2 linked regions of the Diceros bicornis minor genome follow. The protein of the gene in region 1 interacts with the protein of each later gene in a pairwise test. Links are inferred from orthologs where the notes say so. Each region holds a gene or a part of one and is shown on either strand. Other genes may lie near its edges.

Region 1 (10,581 bases):
CTCCTGTTCTCCCTAGACCAGATGATTCCTTCATCTCCCCCTCCTGGTTGCAGGGGCCATGTGTGGAAGTGACATTCAGAGATGAGTCCTGGATTAGGTACAGGTGGGAGCCTAGGGCCAAATTCATTTCATTCGACATTTATCGAGCACCCTCTATTTGCCCTGCGTGGTGGGATCAGAAAGACCAACAAGACCCAAGTGAAGGAGGCAAAAATGTAGAAACTTAATTGTGACTCACGTTAGGATAACGTGAATGCTAGAGACACAAGCAGCTCGTTATGGGAGCCCAGAAAAAATAGCAATGAATTAGGTCTGGGTGACTCTGGGCCGGCTCTATGGAGGACCTGGCATTTCAACTAGACTTGAAAGGTGAACAGGATTTTGACAGGAAGAGAAAAATGGGGAAAGATTTTGCTGATTCTTTAAACTGCACCTACAAAGTGAGATCAGAGGTTTTAAACACTGCCCTTTTTAGCACACCAGCTGGGCAGTACAAAGGCAAAATCATGGATTTGAGTCCAGACGGCAACCCCTTTTTGGGCCTGTCACATGACCTCTCTGAGCCTCAGTGTTCTCATCTGTAAAATAGGAATGCCAGTCATTCCACAGAGTTGCCATGAAGATGAAGTCATTCAAGCCAAGAGTACCTACCCACCACATAGTAGGTACTCGATGCATATTTCTTGAGTAAATATGTATAACATATAGCATTGTACAAGGGACTTTCACAAACACTTGAATTCCCCGACACGTTTTGTCATGGTCCCTGCTTGCTGTCTAGCCATGTGAGGTATTACCCCCATTACACGCTGCAAGCAACACCCTCTTCCTTGGGAGGCCGAGCTCTGTAGGCAACGTGCTACCAGGGAGGGAAGCAAGCAGAGCATGGAGCTGTGATCCTGCAGTTAACAAGGGCAGGAGCGTTTTCCTCTAAGGTCTGTGGCGGGGGTCACATGACCCCAACCACTCACTGCCTTGGTCCCGTTTTCAACGTGGGGTCTGTGTGTCAAGTTAATCAAACTCTCTTATCAAATGCAGGCCAATATCAGACTTATTGAATCAATCTCTGGAGGTGGAGTCTGAGAAAACACATTTGGAACAAACCCATGTTCATGAGGTTGGGAAAGTTTGGGGGCTGTTGAGCCTGCTGTTCCCTCAGCCTGGACCACCCTCGCTCAGATAGACAAGGACTCACTCCGTTCAGGTCTGTGTTTAAATGTCTGCTCCTTGGGGAGGTCTTTCCTGATCACCCAACCTGACATAGTGGCCCCTGTCACTTTCTATCCCCTTAAAGTGCTTTATCTTTCATCACAGTGCTCACGACCTGACACTATATCACAGCTACGTTTGCACGTTTACTATCTGGCTCTCCCACCACAATGTAAGCTTAGGAACATGTCCACTTCACTGTTCTACCTTTGGTGCCTAGAACAGCACCTGATATACGGTGGATATTAAATAATTATTGTTAAATGAATAACTGCTCTGTGCCCTTGAAGATGCAGTGGTCATGAGTGCTGTTTGCCCAACACTTCCAGCTCTTTTCCTATTCCAAGCACATGGAAGGATAGCACTTCTTGTTCTCCTTGTGTTGTTGTTGTTAGTGCCAACGAATCAAGAAGTGGGGGACCAGGTCCTTCTTCCTAGTCTGTCTTAGTCTGGAAGGCATAGCTTTCAGCATCACAGCAACCACCACGGTGTGACAATCGACAGATGAGTGGTGTGGTTCTCTGACTGGGAAACGAACCCAGGCAGCAGCAGTGAGAGCGCTGGATCTTAACCACTAGACCACCAGGGCTGGCTTCCCCTTGTGTAGTGTGCGCTATATAACTAGTTCTGGCCAGTGAGTTGTGAGCAGAAGTGACTGGAACTTTGAAATGCTGATGAAGGGTCCTCCAGGCCCTCTGGGTTTCCCTCTGGCATGGTGACTGGCAACATTAGACGTGGTGGCTCCATCAGCCTGGGTCCCTGGGTGGCATTGATGAACAGTCTCCCTGCCAACTGGCAAAGGGCACATAATGTGAGTGAGAAAGAAGTCTCTGGTTTAAAGGCACTGAGATTTGGGGTTGTTTATGACCACAGAGTACGCTCACCTGCCCTGACAGGTCCAGAGATCCTGTGCAGGCAGCAGTGCTGTCAGAGTCACCGGGAGGGCCCTAAATGCTTCGGGGATTTCAGGCGACTTCAAATGCCTCAAAGCCAAACAAAACCAAAAACTTCCCCTTCAGAAAGTCAGGCCACATTCTGTCCTTCCCTTTTCCTTCCTACTAGGAAGCTCAGTGGGAGTTGTGGGACAGCCTTGAAACAACTTGCCCAATACGAACACACCCTGGGACCACCTCTGCAGTGACTTCACATGCTGACCACACACTCAAAATAAAAACAGCACACCCACTCTTCTGGGAGTGAGTCACAAACAGAAAAAAGTCCACGCTCTGAGCCAAGGGGATCTGCTAACATGGGGGAAAGCTTCTAGTGGAGATGTCTCAGCTCATGCTGGGGTCTCACCCTTGTAGCCCGCAAGACCAAAGACCCATCCTAACAATTCTGAAGTTCAAGCATCGTACACTATCCCAGATACTGTCCCGACTCTACAATGAGACTAGAGTTTATTTAGTACTTCTTCCCTGGGGAAGGAGGAATGACTTGCATATGTGTGTGTGTGTGCGTGCACGCACAAGCACAGGCGTGCATGTATGTGTGTGTATTGTGGGAGGGGATGCTGTTTCAGGGAAGAAGGAGACTAGGCTGGGAAAGATGGCATCAGAGGAGGCAAGTCCCAGGCAGGGAGCCTCCCGTTGGGGTTCAGGGGAGGCAACTACTTCCCCGACCTCAATTTCCTGGCTCAGGGAGATGAACCCTAAGATAAACTTCATACACTTTTTGGATTGGTTACATGAAGTTACGTTATCTCCATTTTCATCTCTGTTCCCATCCCAGACGCCAAATGTAGGGCTCTGACCCTGCCTGGTCTCCTCCCCCATTCAGTGCTGGGAACAGCCACCACCACTCCTCCAGATCGGAGCTGCAGCAGGAAAAAAAGACCAGAGTGTTTTCTGGACAGTTCAGAACCTGGGCAAGGGTTTATGTCTGACTATTCCAGATAGTCCCCACTTTCCCAGGGCCCGAGGAGACACTCTTCCCATGAGCCTCTCCATCCAGGGAATCTGGGCTGGGCAGCCCATAATCATGCTTGGGGGTGGGGAGGTGGAGGGCAAAGATGTGATTGTTGGCAATTATTTCACCAATGGCACTTTAAAACCGGCCTTCCAGTGGTGAACTCTTTGCCAGGTCTCCTCTTCTTCTTGCCACACTAAGCTGTCACCCAGAACTTAAGCTGGGTCCACACCCTGGACCTCACCCAGTCCAATGCCCTCCCAGGAGGGAGTGATCTCCTCCAGACGTGTCTCAAGCCTGTGGAGAGGGGTGGATAGCAGAGGGTGGATACCAGCAAATATTTCCATGCAATGCAGGTTCTGCAACAAGCCCAAGAGAACTGCTTGCAGAAAAAATAGGAGAGAGAGAAATGAGAGACCACAAAGGCAAACTGCACTTTCCTTTGTAAACATTCAGCAGAAAGCATTCAGAAACAGCCCCCTCCACCAAGTTTTCCTCAGTCACGTCCCACTGGACCTCACCTACCCCGTGGAGAAAAGAACAGGGAGGCCCATTCTGTTATCACCACGTTAGATCTAGAGCAGTTGGGGCTTGGACCAGCATCATCAACATCACTTGGGAACTTGTTAAAAATGCAAAATCTCAAACCCCAGCCCCAGACACACCAACTCAGAAACTCAGGTGGTGGAGCCCACTAATCTGGGATTGAAGGAGCCCTCCAGGTGAGTGGTACACAACAAAGTTTGAAAACCACTGATGTAGAGAGAAGTTCAGACCGGAGAGGAAGGGTGGAGGAGGGAGCAGAGGGGTGGCTGGTGGCTCACAGGTCCCCATCCCAACTCCTTCTGCTCTGTCGCACTGCAGGGCTGGCTGCTGTGGGCATTCTTCTCCTCTGCCCAGAAACCACCTCATGAGCTGGGAAGCTCCAGACTCTGGTGAGAGCTGGGGACGCAACATGTCCTCTGCTACAAATGCGGTGGCAGAGGCCTCTAGGAAGATCCCTACCAGGAGGGAGAAGCCATGGACCAGAGCAGGCTGGGAATTCCCCAGCCACCAGACTAGAAATGTTAGGAATTATTGAAAAATTACCTCCAAGGGGGAAAATAAAAAGCAAAAGTGAAGATTGCCCTTGCAGACAGTAGGGGGAGACCCATCTTAGGCCGGGAAGAGGAGGGAGAGCCTCAGATCTGGAAGAATTGAGACATTTCCAAAGTTGGTTGCTGAGACCTCTGCTAGATCAACCAAACCAAACCCCAAGCGTTAAGAGGACGGCAGTGATCACTGAGTCAGAGTGGTGGGACTGGAGGAGACTGCGAGAGCATGTCCCTGTCTCCTCACTCCTGGATCAATGTATAGTTGAGAACTGCAGAGGCTAGAGAGGGCCCAGAGTCATCCAGCTGGTCTGCGTCAGGACACGGAGGTACAAAGACCCGGGAGCCCGGGAGGCGCCTGCTTCCCATCATGAGACGGGGCTGTCTCCATGGGCAAATGTGCTGGTCAGGGCCGGCTACATAACGTGCGGGACCAAGTGCAAAAACAAATGCCGTGCCCTTTGTTCCAAAATTATTGAGACTTTCAAGACGGTGACAGCAGGGCACTAAACTGCGGGGAGGGGTTCATGAAGTCTGCCCTGGTGCTGGTAGAAAACGGATCTCTCTTTGGATCTCACAGGTGAACTGTTCACACCAGATGCAATGTACGGCTTTGGGGGGACCGGTGTTTCCACAGGAATCACCAGAGCAGCTGTGGTGAGAGGAGGGTTTGACTTAGTTGGAAAATCTTTCCCAATCCATGGGGCGCTGGAGCGTTCTCACAATCCAGGATCCACGATCACCATAACCCCAGTCTTCCGAGAAGGGAATATCCTACCGGGCAGGGCTGCTGAGAGGGGAAATCCAGCAAGAATGAAAGTCGCACACGGACAGCCTCGCCCGCGGCGGAGGCGGCTTCTCGCGGCGGCACGAGAAGCGCCCCCGCGCTCGGGTCCCTCCTGGTCACGGGACTCGGCGCCGCGGCGGGAGCGCGAGCGGAAGCGGGGCGTTCGCGACCCACGGCGGGGTCGGCTCGCCGGCGGCTGCGGGCGGCGAGGGGGCGGGAGGAGGAGCAAAGGAGCGTGTCCCTCCCGTCCGCGTGAACCCCGGAGGGTGGCGGGCGGACATCCAGCCCGTGGGCCTCTCCTCACATCCCATCCTCAGCCGGCTCCTGAGCCCTTGCCTCTGCCCTGCTCCCTCCCCTGGGCGTGTTGGGGTGCGGGTGGCGGGGGGATCTGCGGTGGGGGAAGTGATGGGAGAGGGAAAGAGGCAGGGCTGAGGGTAGACGTCCCCTCCAGAAATGCCTCTTTTGAGTTGTACTATAGAGCCTTCCCATACGAAATCCTTCAGCTGCCCCAGTTGTCCAGGCGCTTCTGAAGACGCCCCTAAATCCACACTCGCTCAGTACCCCCCCGCCCCCTCCCCCGCCAACCCTGCGCTCGGTGGGGTGGTTCCCTCGGGTCGTCCTTCCTGCCTCTCCGAAGTCTCCCCGCCCCCGCCCCGCCCCGCAGGCTGCGGCCCCTTTAAAGGCGCGCTGGGCGGGCGGCACTGCTCTCGAGGCTGACTCGGGAGGAGCGCCACCGCCGGGAGCTGCCGCCGCCGCCAGCCGGGCATGGCCATGGCGTCCCCGGCCATCGGGCAGCGCCCGTACCGGCTACTCTTGGACCCAGAACCGCCGCGCTATCTGCAGAGCCTGAGCGGCCCCGAGCCGCCGCCGCCGCCGCCGCGGCCCCCCGGCCGGTCCTCGCGCCGCTGCGCCCCCGCGCCCCTCTCCGCTGCGCCCGGGGCGCACGAGGGGCGCGGCGCCCGGAGGGCTGCCCGGGGCGACCTGGAGTCCCAACTCCGGGCCTCCCGACCCGCTCGCCCTCTGCGGCCTGGTCTGCAGCAGAGACTGCGGCGGCGGCCGGGAGCGCCCCGGCCCCGCGACGTGCGGAGCATCTTCGAGCAGCCGCAGGATCCCCGCGTCCCGGCGGAGCGAGGCGAGGGGCACTGCTTCGCTGAATTGGCGCTGCGGAGCGGCCGGGGCTGGTGTGACCTGTGCGGACGAGAGGTGCTGCGGCAGGCGCTGCGCTGCGCTAGTGAGTGTGCGGGCCAGGCAGGGGAGCGGAGGGGCGCGCGGGAGGACCGCAGTCCGCGGGCGAGGAACTGCGAGGGGCTGGGGCAGGACAGCGGGCGCATCGCCCTCTCTGGCTCCAGGGGAACTTGGACTTGAACGAAGGGAGGTAAGCCCTGGGGACACTCTGCTCCTTAGTCCCCTGCCCAGTATCCTCTAGTGACTGCCTACTCCCCGGGTATGGTCATGCGGTATTTAACAAACACCTCTTCCCCTGACAGGTGCACGCCTCGCCCTTCCCCAGACACACACGTACACACACACACACACACACACACACGCACACACACGTGTGCGCGCACAGATTGGGGTTGATGGCAGCAGGGCAAGGTCATTCCATTGTCCCCTGCGCACCCTCCTGCTTTTGTTGTAGGTTCTTGAGAGTGGGTTGTGAGACTGGTATTGAGATGGCCTTTTGACCCGTGGCAAAAAATGGCTTCTTTGTCTGTCTATGGTGCAGCCCCACAGTACACGGACACTTATGGTATACCCTTTCTCCAGGGCGACCTGTTGGGATAGGGAGGAGACCTGGTTGGGCTTTAGATGGAAACGGCTATGAGGCTGAAGAGAGCCTGAGGTCACCCTGGACCTGTGCCCCTCCTGCCTTCTGCCTCTGGCCCCTCAAACCTTTGGACTCTGCTCTAACGTTTGGCTGTGTCCTGAGCTGGCCTCCTCTTCCTCCTCCTCGGTTACTGCACCAGTCAGTCATCATGCTCTGAAATTACCTAACTCCTGCCGGGTCCCTTCTCCCCCAGAGCTCTCAGGCCCCTCTAGCCGCCTCCTGAGCCAGGCTCTTCTCAAAGACTGACTAGAAAACACTGGGCACCCAGTGTGTAAATTTTCTGAGCAAATGTGCGGTCTTCTTGGAGGTGCATTATTTTTCTCTTCCTACAGTTAGGTGTGAGTGTTCTTTAATGGGTGCCCCACCTACCCGCCCTATCTGCTCCTGCCATGTTTGGCAGAGGGTATCCATCCCCATGTGTTTATGTGTTTATATAGGTATTTTAAATATCTGAAGCACAAAGCACAGACAATGGCACAACCTCTAACAAGGGTCTCTGGAAATGGGTTGTGGTTTGCATCTTTTGGCAAAAGCCCTTCCCCTGTGAGCACAGCCTCACACTCCCATCGGACTGCAGCACCGGACAGCAGCAGCTACTTCCACCTCAGGAAAACCCTGCCTTGCCTCTCTCTGCAGTCCACAGCCGAGGCAGCGTGCCTCTACTGCAGCTGGCCGCAGGGGAGGAGAGCTCAGACTCTAAGCCAGGATCAAGTGGAAAGGGAAGGTTGGAGGGGAAAGTGGGTGCTGCTTCCTCCAACCCTGGAACTCACAGTTCAGGTGCTAATTAAAAAGGAAAGAGCAAAAGTTATAGAGATATATGTGTTATGGGTGGTGCTCTGCTGTTACTTGATAAATGCCCCTGACCTTACAGTAGAATCTAATGCAACGTGCCCATGGACATGTTGGCAACTTTTGCCCTCTCAAGGGTCTTGGGGTACTTTCCTGCATCCACCAACCCTATATTCATAGAGACAGGCAGGATCCTCACTGTAATGGGTTTTATTGTGCTGGAATCCCAGGAAATCCGCTTCGTTGGAATTCTAGTCTATTCGGATGTTTGGGGGCTGTATCAATTGTTGAACATTTTGCACAGAGTTTTATGATTTGTTTTTTTGTTGCGATAATGGTGTATTTGTGTGTGTTTGTATGTGCATATGTGTGATACTCCATGATTAAATGAAGTTATGCTCACTTCACATTAGAATTTATTTCCTTTGGTTAGTTTATAGTTTCTGGTGGCAGGAAGACCCAGGTACATGGGCAGTTTGTCTGACTTTGTGTGAGACTTGGTGAAGTCTCTTCGTTTTCCTGGGCTCCTGTGGCCCTCACGCAGTTGGCTTAATACCAACCAGGGATGTCTGAACACCAGAGAGGAGCAAAGCTGGAATCAACGGGCTATGGAGAGGAGTCTCTGTCATTATTAATGTTTAACTAATTGTGGACCTGTGGCTGGCTGGGGGCAGTTGAGAAATGTTCTGATGTGCAGATGAGGGCTGGCGGGTGGGGACACAGCAGGCCAAGCTCACGGAGCATCTTTCTTTAAGTCGAACAACTAATTCTGTGATGGGGTTGGTTTGTTTTATCTTTTGAAAAGCAAGCGTCAGAAATATGACTTTTAAAAGGCAGTACTGTGCAGTGATTAAGAGAACGGACTGAAACCAGAAGACCTGGGTTTGAATCCTGATTCTGCCACTTAGTCTCTGTGTGACCCTGGGCATCTCTGTGTTCCACTTCTTTGTTTTAAAAAATGGGGATAATAACATTACCTACTGCATCACGTTAATGCGAGAATTAAATCAATTAGCGTATGTAGAGTGCTCAGAACAGTGCCTGGCAAAATGCAATATGAATGCTTAATGTAATGTGAGTGTTATTATTGTCCTTGCCCATCCAACAGGTGTAACAATTTGTCTGGGCTCATGACACTTCCGAGGATCACCTTTCCATGCAGTGATACAGTTTTCAGACTCTGCCTGGTTGCTGAGCCAAGTGGGGAAGTGAGTGCCATGAGCATCCCAGGAAGGTATTAATTGTCCTCTAGAAATGCCATTCCTGCCTGCTGGCTGAGGAGTGTCCTCACAGAATGGCAGTGGCTTAGAGGTCACCAAGACATTGATGCCTTGTCTTTGTGTCAGTTGCCCCCAGCAAAGTGTGAGGCACAGAGCACAGTCTCAATAAGTGGTGGTTGATGAAGGTGGTGGCTTGTTTATTCTATTAAATCTCCCTGCTCTTGGGAACAAGCAGAAGGGCAGTGGGCATGTGAGTGACATCTGCCTGAGCCAGGAGGCTGACACTGGGTGGGAGCCGTGTTGGCAAAGTGGGCTTTTAGTAAGGGAAGCGTTCAGAAAACTGTCTTCCCACTGTCTGCCTGCCTTTTTCGTGAAACTGTCTCTAACTTAAGCTTACCCTACTTCAAGTTCAGTAACTGAGCTCTCACTAATGCTGGGTTTGCCAACAGGAAAGTTCAGAGTTAATATTAATTTTCAGGACTAAAGAAATGATGTTTGTTAGATAGAGAAGTAAATCCAGGGGGATTGGTGGAAGAGAGAGAGGGAGGGAGATGATGGCGTGAATGCAGGTGTGTGTGTTGGGATGGATGTGCTGGAGGGGTGAGGGTCTATTTCCAGCATTCCAGAAGGGAATTGTCAACAGCAAACAACCCTAGAAACTCACCGGGCCGCCCTTTGGCTTTGTTTTCAGGGAATGTCCCTTAGAGGTCATGACCCTTTCTTCTGTAGAAGGCACAGAGAATTGACCTTTTACCTTTCATCTTGTTTTGGTGGATTTGTAAACCATCCTGGGCCAGGGAATGATCTGGAAAATGGGGAAACCTAAGTCCAAGTCAGCATTCAAGGCAGGACGCTTGGACAGACCTTGCACGTTGCTGGTGAGGGCTGCGCGTCTGCTCCTGAGCCTGTCTCTCTTGGGAGGGGCATTGTTCAGAGCTATGAAGTGTTCACTGATGGGAATTATAGGGTTGAAAGGGTGCCCTGGGGCTCCTCATCCTAACCTTCCCTTCCTGCGATGGACTTTAATTATGGTGTGAGTGGAGGCGTTTGCCATGGAACCTTCATGGATGGGGATGGGGACTTTCTTGGTGAGTGAGGCTGGTGTCTCACTCAGGGCCCATCTGCCCTGTCTTGACATTGCACTAACGGCTAAGCTTAGCTGCCTCTCGGCACAGACTGGAACCAGCCATGTGACAGCCACCGGATCCTGCAGACCTATGCTCGGTCGTGGTTCTTTATGGAAGAGATTACTGAGACATTGACATCGAGTCTACCTTTAGCACACCTAGGAACCTTGGACACTTGGAAGTTGTTTCATTTGTCTAGTACACCCAGCAGCGCTGAGGTGTGTGGCTTGAAGTATTTCATTAATTTAGGCCTGTGTTTGGCTTTGGAGGTTAGGAAAAATCAAGCACTGAAATGGACATTGTGTTGTTAAAAGTAGTGGAATCCCCCCCTCCATTCCTTCCACTGCCCCTGGCTCTGATTGTGGTCTTCTTCTTGGGAAAAGCCATAGTGGAGTGTGTATGTGTGTTTGGGGACAGAGAAAGGACCTGGAATGCTGAGAGAGGCCTTCTGAGGTCCCCAAGCTGTATCCTCTGTTTCCTTTCCTCTCTGCTTCCTGTCTTCTCAAAAGATGAAAGTGAAAGGATTAAATGTGAGCTTAATTGTCCCCCCTTTTCATCAGAGCATGCAATTTTCTGATTATGGAGTGAGGGGGGCTTGAATCCCAGGTACAGTCAAAAACGA
Region 2 (9,910 bases), on another chromosome or scaffold:
CAGGCATCTCTGACAAGTTCATAAACAATTCAAGGGACTCCAGACTTGTGTCCACCAGTACCCCGGTCATGTCAGCCATGGTCACTTTATCCTGTTAAGTTCTTTTTTTTCTTTGTATTAAAGACTTATTTTTTGTGTCTCTCTTTCTTTTTCCAGCTTTATTGAGATATAATTGACATACAACATTATGTAAGTTTAAGGTGTACAACATAATAATTTGATATATGTATATATTGCAAAACGACTACCCCAATAAGGTTAATTAACATATCCGTCGCCTCACATGGTTACCTTTTTTTCATCCTTTTAAGTTCTTTACCACTTGGCTACTGTTATATAATAAACTACCCCAAACCTTAGTGGCTGAAAATGATAGCCATCTACTCAGTTTGTGCTTTAATTGGTTGTTATTTGGGTAGACTTAGCTGGGCTCCTTTTTGCATCAATGGTCAGCTCTGGGTTGGGTAGGGAGCTTGACTGATCTTGGTTGGGTGTCCCACATGCCTGGGGCCTTGGCTCTGGGCCATGTGGTCTGTCCTCCTCCAGCAAGCTAGCTCAGCACCCTAGCTTATTCACATGACAGAGCCATGTTCCCATAGAAAGAGTAGAAGAATACAAGGCTTCTCAAGGCCCAGACTCTGAAAAGGCACAGTATGACTTCTGCCACATTCTATTGCCCAAAGCAAGATGTCAACCCAGATTCAAGGTGGGGAAGTAGACTCCACCTCTTTGTGGGAGGAGCTGCAAAGTATATGCAGGGAGGGGAATAAGTGTGACCATTTTGGCAATTCATTTACTACTTTCTGAGTAATGTCAACATATCAAACCCTTGAAACAGGGAAGCTGAGTGTTGGACTGTCTGTCCCTTAAGTGTTACTTAGCGGGAAGTCCCCAAAGCATGACTGCTTGGGCCCCAGAGTATTCCTGAAGTTTCTGAAACAGTCCTTTGAGTTGTAACTTAGAGCCTCTTCCATCTTCCCGGGATCACCCCCCCATGTGTCCCGGGGGCCAGGCTGGGGGCAGAGTTGAGTGACAATCTCACCTCTCTTCTGTCAACTAAAGCTTTGATACTGGACCAAATTTGGTTTCTTCTCTCCTTAGAATGAACATTATCTCCCAGGAGGGCCTTTTTTCACCTCTCGAACAAATACATTTCCAGCCAGCCCACCATGCTAGCGTGCCAGACAAGTTCAGATGTACTCAGGTCACTGAGGCTTCCTTATTTCTCTATAACTCATTAGATCTTCCTTTGTACATTCTCACCTCGTGGATAGCAGAGAAAAAAAAAAGGAGTCTGATACAATAATTTGCATTCCTGCTGGTCTTCTTAGATGAAAACTCTCTCAGAGTTCTTCCTTCCTTCCCAGCTATCTCCAAGATGGATCTTTGGAGGTGGTTCTGCCTTACCTTTTCTGGTGGTGGCATGTGAGGATGGTGTCTCCGGGTCCCCCCGGGCTCCCCTGCAGAGGGCCTACTCTGGACCATCCCTGGAAAGCAAAATGCTGAGGGGTGATGGCCCCATTCCTGGGTGTTTGCCTGGCATCTGCTGCTGAGGCCTGCAGCTTGTGTACCTCATGGTCTGTGTGCTCCACGCTCCTTCAGAGCTCTGTAGTGCTCCCTGACGCCCCCGGCCTTGACTCGGCCCTCACCAACGCTCCCTCTGAGTCTCTATCATGTCCTCCCACCAGCCCCTGAGCTAACCTTCGGGGTCAACCTGCCCCTCTCCATGCTGGCTCTTAGAGCAGATGACTTGCGTGTTCTGGCTCGCACCGCCTCAGCCCACTTCTTCCCCCAGCATAGCTGTGGTGGGCAGCTCCATGCACAATGACTCATGCCACCTGAAGTGCCAATGGCAGTGGCTCCTGCTTGTCTGCCTCAGAGGTTCCCTTGAGGCCAAAGATGTCCACACAGCCAGGAAGTAAGAAGAGGTGAGCTCTTTGGAAGTAATTCTTAAACAGTGGGAAATGAGAGTTAGCAGATAACTGCCCCAGTGCCCCCAGCTTCAGAGAGGACAATTCTGAGGCGCATTTTACACAGTTCCTCAGAGGGTCCCCAGAGGAATGGGGTGCTGGTGCCACACCCTTTATTGGCTTTTCTCCCTCCCTGTCTCACTCTCCTGCTTTCTGGGACCAGCTCCTAAGTAAACTCCCAAGTCCTTGTCTCAGGTTCTGCTTTTGAGGGGACTCAAACTAAGGCCCTATGGAAGGTCTAAGGCTCACAATTCCACTTCCTTCGGAGGCCCCTGGTCCTTGGGAGCAGGTGGGAACTTCTGCATCATGTCTATGCCACGCAGGAATTGTGGGTGACCCCAGAAAGCTAAACCCAGGCCCCGTCTGTGTAACTTGGTGGTCCACTAAGTTGACTTTAATGAGGCTGCCCCCTCCCCTAGGTCTGTGCCTGGGAACAAGGAGGAAGGACGTGGACAGCCAGTGTGGCCATTTCCTCTACTCTATCTCCAGACTCCCCTTAACCCATCAACATACCTCCTCACTCTGGCAGAAGTTCAAATAGGGCAGATGAGGCATTTCCCACTGTCTGTGTCCCTTGCTTCTTCCTCCCTCCTCCCAGAATCCACTGGGAACAAAGAGTGGGCTTTGGGCCTCCCACTTCTCCTCTGCATATCCTGCTTCTCCCCAGTAGAACTCTGATCTAGTGGCAAAGCCTGCCCCTTGAGACGTTATAGGGCGACATAAAGGAATTTGGAGAATCATTTTCTCTCTGGCCATGCTTGACATTCCTGCCACTGTTTTGCTAAAGAGAAATGGGAAGTCAGCTTTGAGACTCAGAGCTCATCAGTGACGTCCTTGCTCCAGAAAATTGTGGTGTCCCAATATGGTAGCCACTAGCCACATGTGGCTATTGAGTACTTGAAACGTGACTAGTGGAATTGAATTTTAAGTTTATATAATCTTAATTAATTAAAACATAAATTTAAAAACTGCTACTCAATTCAGTTAGTGGGAAACTTTTAGGCATGTTGAGAACAACTCGGGTGTGTCAATTTACTTTTTCAAGAAGAAATTTCATAAAATCTAAATACAGATCAAATATTTTTGATGAAAATTTAACGTCCAAATTGAGATGTGCTGAAGTGTAAATACACACAGCCTTAGCAGAAAAATAGAATGTAAAATACTCCGTCAATAACTTCTTTATATTGTTTACATATTGAAATGGTAATATTTTGATTTAAATAAACTATATCATTAAAATTAATTTCAGTTGTTTCTTTTTACTATTTTTTTTTTTTTTTTTTTTTTTTTTTTTTTTTTTTTTTTTTTTTTTTTTTTGTGAGGAGATCAGCCCTGAGCTAACATCCGCCAATTCTCCTCTTTTTTTGCTGAGGAAGACGGCCCTGGGCTAACATCTGTGCCTATCTTCCTCCACTTTATATGGGACGCCGCCACAGCATGGCTTACCAAGCAGTGCGTCGGTGCGCGCCCGGGATACGAACCAGCGAACCCCGGGCCGCCGTAGCGGAGTGCGCGCACTTAACCGCTTGCGCCACTGGGCCAGCCCCTCTTTTTACTATTTTTTTAACTTTTTTTTTTTTTTTTTTGCTGGGAAAGATTTGCTCTGAGCTAACATCTGTTGCCAATCTTCCTCTCTGGTTTTTTTTTCTCCCCAAAGCCCCAGGACACAGTTCTATATTTTAGTTGTAAGTCCTTCTAGTTCTATGTGAGCTGCTGCCAAAGCATGGCTACTGACAGATGAGTGGTGTGGTTCTGCGCCCGGGAACTGAGCCCAGGCCGCCAAAGAGAAGCGTGCCGAACTTTAACTGGTAGGCCATCAGAGCTGGCTCTTTTTTTTTACTATTTTTAATGTAGCTAGAAAGTTTTAAATTGCACCTGTGGCTTGCACTGTAGATAGTTCTAGGCAATGCTTATCTCCTGCTTCCCTGCGGCCATGTGCCTCTGGGTTCAGTCCCTGGGGGTGGAAGGCTGCAAGAAAATATGGTTTAAGGGTGGGCTTTAATGTATTCGGTTTAATATTTGCAAATATTATCCCTGATACAGAATTATTGTCCCTACACTGCCTTGAAGGAAAAAGTCCTATTCTTTTTCCTCCTGTGCTTTCTGTATGGACAAATTGATGAAAAGAAAGATGTTTTCTGGTGTTTTGAACTAATCAATCAATTTATTCACTAAGATGGAGAATGTTAAGTGAAGAGGAACAGATTTTGTTTTAAATAGGTCAGGGTTCCTGGTAGCCTAATTTGGACAATGTAAGCCTGCCTCTAGCCCCAGTTGATTGGTCATAGGATGGTCACTTGACCCAAGCTGGGCCAATGAGCAGCTCTCCTGGGAGACTGGAGTAGAGACTAAGGGATTTTAGCTCTACCTGGCTGCTTTCTTCAACAGGGAAGCTCCAAGCCCCAGTGATGGAAGCCATGGCCACCCTTTGTCATGTGTCTGGGATGCAGGGAAGCCCAGTCTATGATGAGAGAGAAGAGCGGGCCCCTCCTGGGTTCCTGGAAGCCCTCCAGGCTCTGGATTTGCCTCTAACTGAGCTCTCCCTGCAGTTCTGACCCTGAGGTTATAGAGAAACCCCCTTGTCCTCATAACACACTCCCCGGAGGGTGTTCCATTACCTGCAAAGGAAAGAAGCTTGACTAATACAGAGTAGTGGCTGGGGGGAGAGGTGAGGGAGGTAGGGGTTCCGGTGCGTGTGTGAGGGGGAATTAACGGGAGAGCTTTGTGTTTATAGCTCAAGGGGAAAGAACCAGAAGATAATTTTTTTTTCTATAGAAAAAGCTGATCAGTGGTCTCCTTGTTCTGGGGCAGCTGACACAGTTTTCAGCACCACCCTGCAGCTGCATTTTGGGTTCAAAAGACTTTTGTGGCTGCCCTGGGAAGCAGATCACCATTTGTAACATTGTTTCTAAGGGAGACACATTCCAACATCCAAACAATGAATTTATAAAGAATGTTTGGCTTCCAGGAGGGATGAGCTGATCCGGCTGTACCCCGGGGGTTGGCTACCCATTAACGGTTAGGCCCCTTTCCTCTTGGCGTGGAGACTGACTCTGCAGAGCTGGAGTATGAATGCGAGGGGAGAATTCTGATAAGAAGGAGGGAACAGATAAGGAGCTCCGCAGCTGGGGTGCTCTAGGGTTTCCTGTGCACTGAGAGCCCCTGGAGGTCCAGGGATGGATAAGAGGGGGAGGTGAGAGGTGGACAAAGAAACTTGGCCTCCTTCACATTGCTGTCACGTCTGCCAGCCCGCGAAGTCGAAGGGGCCTCGCTTAGCCCCCTGCTCAGCTCAAACTGTTTTTGGAATAAGCCCGAGTGTTAGAAAAAAAATCCTACATCCTCTGCCTGGGGAATCCGGGGTGCCCAAAGTGGGCTCCTCGGGGCAGCGTGACTGTTCCCTTGGAGTGGCTGTCACAGCACGGGGCGAGCCGAGGGGCTTGGGCCAAGACTCCATCCCTCTTGGAAAGGGCAGCGGCGAATGGGGTGAGGGGAGCCAGCTCATCCTCCCCACCCCCGCACTCCTACCCCCTCCCCGCCCCCCCAGCCCGGAAGAAGCGCTGGCAGCCGGAGCCCCGACTCGGAGGCAGGGAAGGAGGGGACGCGCAGCCAAAGCATTGTCTGGGAGGGAGGGGAGAAGCTCCGCCCCCCGGGGGGAGGGGAGAAGGGGAGGGAGGGCGGGAGAGGAGGGGAGGAAGAAAGGCGAGTGGAAGAGGGGTGGGGAGAGATGGAGAGCTAGAGAAAGAGGGGGAGGGAGGACGGTCAGATCGCATAGGGCAGATAAAGGCAGGGGGGCGGGCGAGAGGGCGAGGAGGGGCGGAGAGGGAGCGAGGAGGGCGGGGCGCCCGACCCCCAATCGCGCGGCCGCCGCCTCCCAGCTGGGCTGGATTTGAGCCCGGCCCGCCGATCGCTGACCCAGGCGCCGGCTGGAGCAGCCCCCGGCCGCGGCACCCCCACTTTGCAACTCCACGGTCCCCGCGGCGCGAGCGAGATGCAGCCGGCTCTGGACGCAGGCAAGGCGCTGGGCGCGGGGTGCTGGGCGCGGGGTACCGGGCGCGCGATGCGGGGCGCAAGGTGCCGGGTACCGGGCGGTCCTCTCTCGCCTGCCTCGCTCCTGCCTCGCCGAAAGTTTTCTCGCAGTGTCTCTTCTCCCGTCCAGGTCAGCCCCTCGGTCCTCGCCTGCCCCTGGTCTCCTGCCTCTCCCCCAGCCTCACGGGGTTCCCGGGCGTGCGGACTCCCCAGGGGCCGCGTGGGTGCGGAACCCCAGCCCGCCCGCCTTCCGCCGGAGAAAGTTGTGGCTCCAAGCTCGTCCTCCCCCTCCGCCCCCAAGGGCGGCGGCAGGAAGGCGCCCCCACCCCATACCCGGGGTCCCTGGGACTTCTTGGCGGTGCGGCCGGGCAGCAGGTGCAGGGATGGCAAATCCCGAGGGCCCTGGGGAGTGGCCAAACCCAATCCGGTCTACTTCTTACCCGCCTAAAGGACGCCTCCCTGGAGGGGAGGGGCTCCAGCTCCCTCTGCCTTCAGAAGGGCGCAGGGTGCGTGGGGGCCCTCGGTCCTCGGGGCACTTCCCCTTTGCAGTCTCCCGGCCCGCCTCCGGAGCTGCTGCCTGAGGTCGTTCGGGACCTCGGCTTTGCATCCTCTCTCGCCGGAGAGAGGCAGGTGCCTTGGGCGGACCCCGGCCACTTCTGCATTTCCAGTGGCTGCTTTGCACTCAGCTCCTAAGCTAGGAGAGCCCTGGGGACAGCAGAGAGGCACGATGGCCTGACAGGGAGAGGAGGGTTCCATGTTACCCTGGGGCGCTCTGTGGGTCTGGTGTCACAGCACCTCGGTGCCTCAGTGACAGGAGCCGAGTGTGAGGCTTCTCAACGCTGCGATGCGCTTTATTCCCAGGTGTCGGGAATCCAGGTCCCTAAATCATGTTCTTCCAGAGGACAGAGGCCGTGTCTAGAGCTGGCGAGGTTTATAGTAAGTACCTTACATGAAATGAATGAATGTTTGAACCAATGAGCTGACAAATAACAATTTATTCTGGAGCGGAACTGGGTTCCTGCCACAGTTGATCTTGGTACAATGGGAGGAAAGAATTAGAAACAATGATTCTTTTAAACAGCTGCAAGACAGAGCCAGCGGCCTTCTTTCCAAAGCATCTGGATGAGGAATCTGGGGTTGGATTTATTTTACTTATCAATTCGTATTTGCTTGGAACTTTTTCTGCAGGTGGTCTGAAAAATTAAAGAAGCTTCTCATGGCTAAGGTATCTTGGGTTGTTTGAGGAGAGTTCCTTTTTTTTTAAACTTGTGTCCTAATGCAGTGTCCCAGGGACTAAGTGTGGAGTTGGCTTGGGAGGTGCCCATTTGGGATCAGAAACCCTGGGTGTGGGCACCAGCTGTGTTTTCTCCTCTAGACAGGCCAGCCTGATGCCTGGAAGCTTTGGCTGTCTAGTGGGCCTCAGTGGATAGAAGAGGGCCCCAAAAGATGGCTGAACTCAGAAAGGTGGGGTAGTTTTGGAAACAGAGTAGTTCTTATTCTGGGAGAAGATGGAGGCATAGCATGCAGCCTGCCCAGACACCTGGGAATCTGGGCTGGTACGGGTTGGGATTCCCTGTGCTGGGGGGCTGGGAGGTGAGTCTTGCTCCTCCCTCAGAGGATGAGAGAGCAGAGGTGGAGTATTGGGGAGACAGGATATTCTTTGGGGTGCAGCCTAGACATGTCCCATGCTCCTCTGTCCTCATTTTGGTGCTGGTGAAATCTGGTTAGAATGATGAGGGACACCTTTGGGGAACCTGGCTGATAGGAGGCCAGGGAATCTGAGGTCCCCAGTTATGCCCTCCTCAAGGGGAAGGTGGGGGCTGTGCCCTCTACACCTGGCTGAGTAGGCCAGAGTGTGTGCAGGACCTGTGCCTGCTGTACCTGCAGCCAGCAGCATCCCCACTTTCCTGAGGGTGCTCCCCTTCTGCCCCTGGGGCTCCAGAGTCCACCTCTCTGCATCTCCGCAAGGCTTCTGTTTGGGGGTTCAAGCCCTCTCTCCAGTTTATGTTCTCTTAAGAATCGGTCCAGTGTAGTGGACCATCCTACATGTTGTTTTCAATCCCTCAGTTCACGTCCTTACTCTCGGATGCGCTGGCCTACCTAGGACCTCTCAGTCACCCGCTGGTTTTGCTTTGATTTCTTCGTCTATTTCCTGGTGCCCTGGAGCCAAACTTTATGTCTGCCTTGTATGTGTGAGCTGCTTAGAAATGGCCGAGAGGGTTGGCTGGAGAAGTGCCCAGGACCACACGTCCTGGCCCTCTGCTGGAGTGCCAAGGCTGGACTGCAGGGCTCACCAGAAAAGGGTCCTGTCACCAAAGCATAAAAGAACCTTGGCCTGATAATTGCATTCAGTTCTCTAGGATACTTTGGCAGGGAGTGTCCTCACTGACTGGGAGGTGGGAGTGCAGAGGCAGCCCAGATTGCCAGAGAATCCTGCGGAAAGGCTGGGAGAGGGACTGGGTGATCCAAGAGCAGTCCTGGGACTTGCCCGCGTCTGCTTGTCCTCTCCCCCAGAATGAGCAACTGGGCAGATCTCAGCAGTGTGCTTGGAATGGAACAAAACGTCCGGTCCCAGTTGTCAAGCCATGGTTGCTGAGAGCTGCTACAGCTGGTTTATAAAACTAGAGTACCCCTCCCGCCACTCTTCACAATATGGTCCAGTTGTTTACCCCAATAACACACTGTCCTATTTAAACACCTCCCTGCCTCTCCAGAAGAATTTTAAATAAGTCCTTAAGGCGAGGTGAGTTCCCCCAGGCCCGTGACTGCTGGTTTCATTTATTTGGCCTGATTGTGGGTTCCCCTGGAGGATATGGCTGTGGGAAGGTGGAGGGAAGGGGATGGGGCAGGAGGCACAGGGCATGCAGGGCACAGCCTCCAGACTTGGCTGATTGGGCAGCCGGGTGGTCATTTTTGACCATCCTTGGATGGCAGACTCTAGAGCCTGTAATCACAGGTTGATGCGGCTGCTTGGGATGACAGCTTGAGGCTGCAGAAGGCCTGCCCAAGGCAGCTGTGGCCGACCAGAGAGGGAAGCCGCTCATAGAAGAAGGGCTTAAGGCAGGGCACTTGGCTAATTCCCGTGGGATGAGCAGAGTGACTTAGAAGGGCTTTTTCTATTCCTTCTGTTGAAACAAATTGGCAAAAGGATACCTTGTGCTTTCCTTGGACATGTCAACCCAAAGTGATTTGACAAAGTGGGTTTACTTCACCAGCATGGCACTTTACCCATATTTGGCACTCAGTAGGTGTTTGATTAACTGCTCATTTCTATAAGAGTAATGAAGAGAGTATTGGAGTTTGAATGGAAGTCTACCATTTTCTAGCTGTGTGATATCCGGCAATAAAATAGATGCTGTGAGCATCCTTCCCATGTTTCCTTGGCCTCAACCAATGGCTGATGGAAGAAGGTGTGTAAATACTGCAGCTCCCTCACTTCTCTGTTGGGGTAACTTTGAGGCATGTTCTATGCTGTCTCTCAGGGCCGCCTAGCAGGACTGAATCCCAATTGCTCACAGTGGTAACTTGCTCCCTTCATTGGCTGCCTTCCTTTCCCTGTTTCACTTTCCCGTTCTCCTTCTATGTGCACTTGAACTCTTGTCTTAGGGTCAACTTCTGGAAACTAACCTAAGACAGGCCTTAGTCTATAGTTACAAAGTCACTTAAAGTCTCTGGGACTCAGTTTTCCCAACTGGAAGATGGAAATAATAACTGTCTCACAGTGATACTGTGATTTGTGCTCAGATGGGGGCCTGGCACACAGGAAGCATTCAGGCAAACATTTGCTGGCTCGTTGATTAATATGGAAGGGGCTATGATAGGTTTGGGAGTGAGTATTATGATGGACCGTGGAGAAGTATAATGCTTTGGAGAGAGAGGAGGTCCTTGGGTTAGGTGAAGAAACTAAGCTC

What was found.
Region 2: the proteins of RASSF5 (region 1) and RASSF2 interact in binary tests that used the Homo sapiens proteins (3 or more experiments, as listed by UniProt). The link is inferred for Diceros bicornis minor from reciprocal best matches to the Homo sapiens genes RASSF5 and RASSF2.

What each region holds. Positions count from the first base shown.
Region 1 is NC_080743.1:99,552,872-99,563,452, reverse strand, and holds the start of RASSF5 (ras association domain-containing protein 5), read left to right. Parts: upstream 1-5,755; 5' UTR 5,756-5,760; coding exon 5,761-6,226; intron 6,227-10,581. UniProt on the Homo sapiens protein: Potential tumor suppressor. Seems to be involved in lymphocyte adhesion by linking RAP1A activation upon T-cell receptor or chemokine stimulation to integrin activation.
Region 2 is NC_080758.1:33,032,326-33,042,235, reverse strand, and holds the start of RASSF2 (ras association domain-containing protein 2), read left to right. Parts: upstream 1-5,989; 5' UTR 5,990-6,129; intron 6,130-6,639; exon of another isoform or gene 6,640-6,860; 5' UTR 6,861-6,935; intron 6,936-9,910. UniProt on the Homo sapiens protein: Potential tumor suppressor. Acts as a KRAS-specific effector protein. May promote apoptosis and cell cycle arrest. Stabilizes STK3/MST2 by protecting it from proteasomal degradation.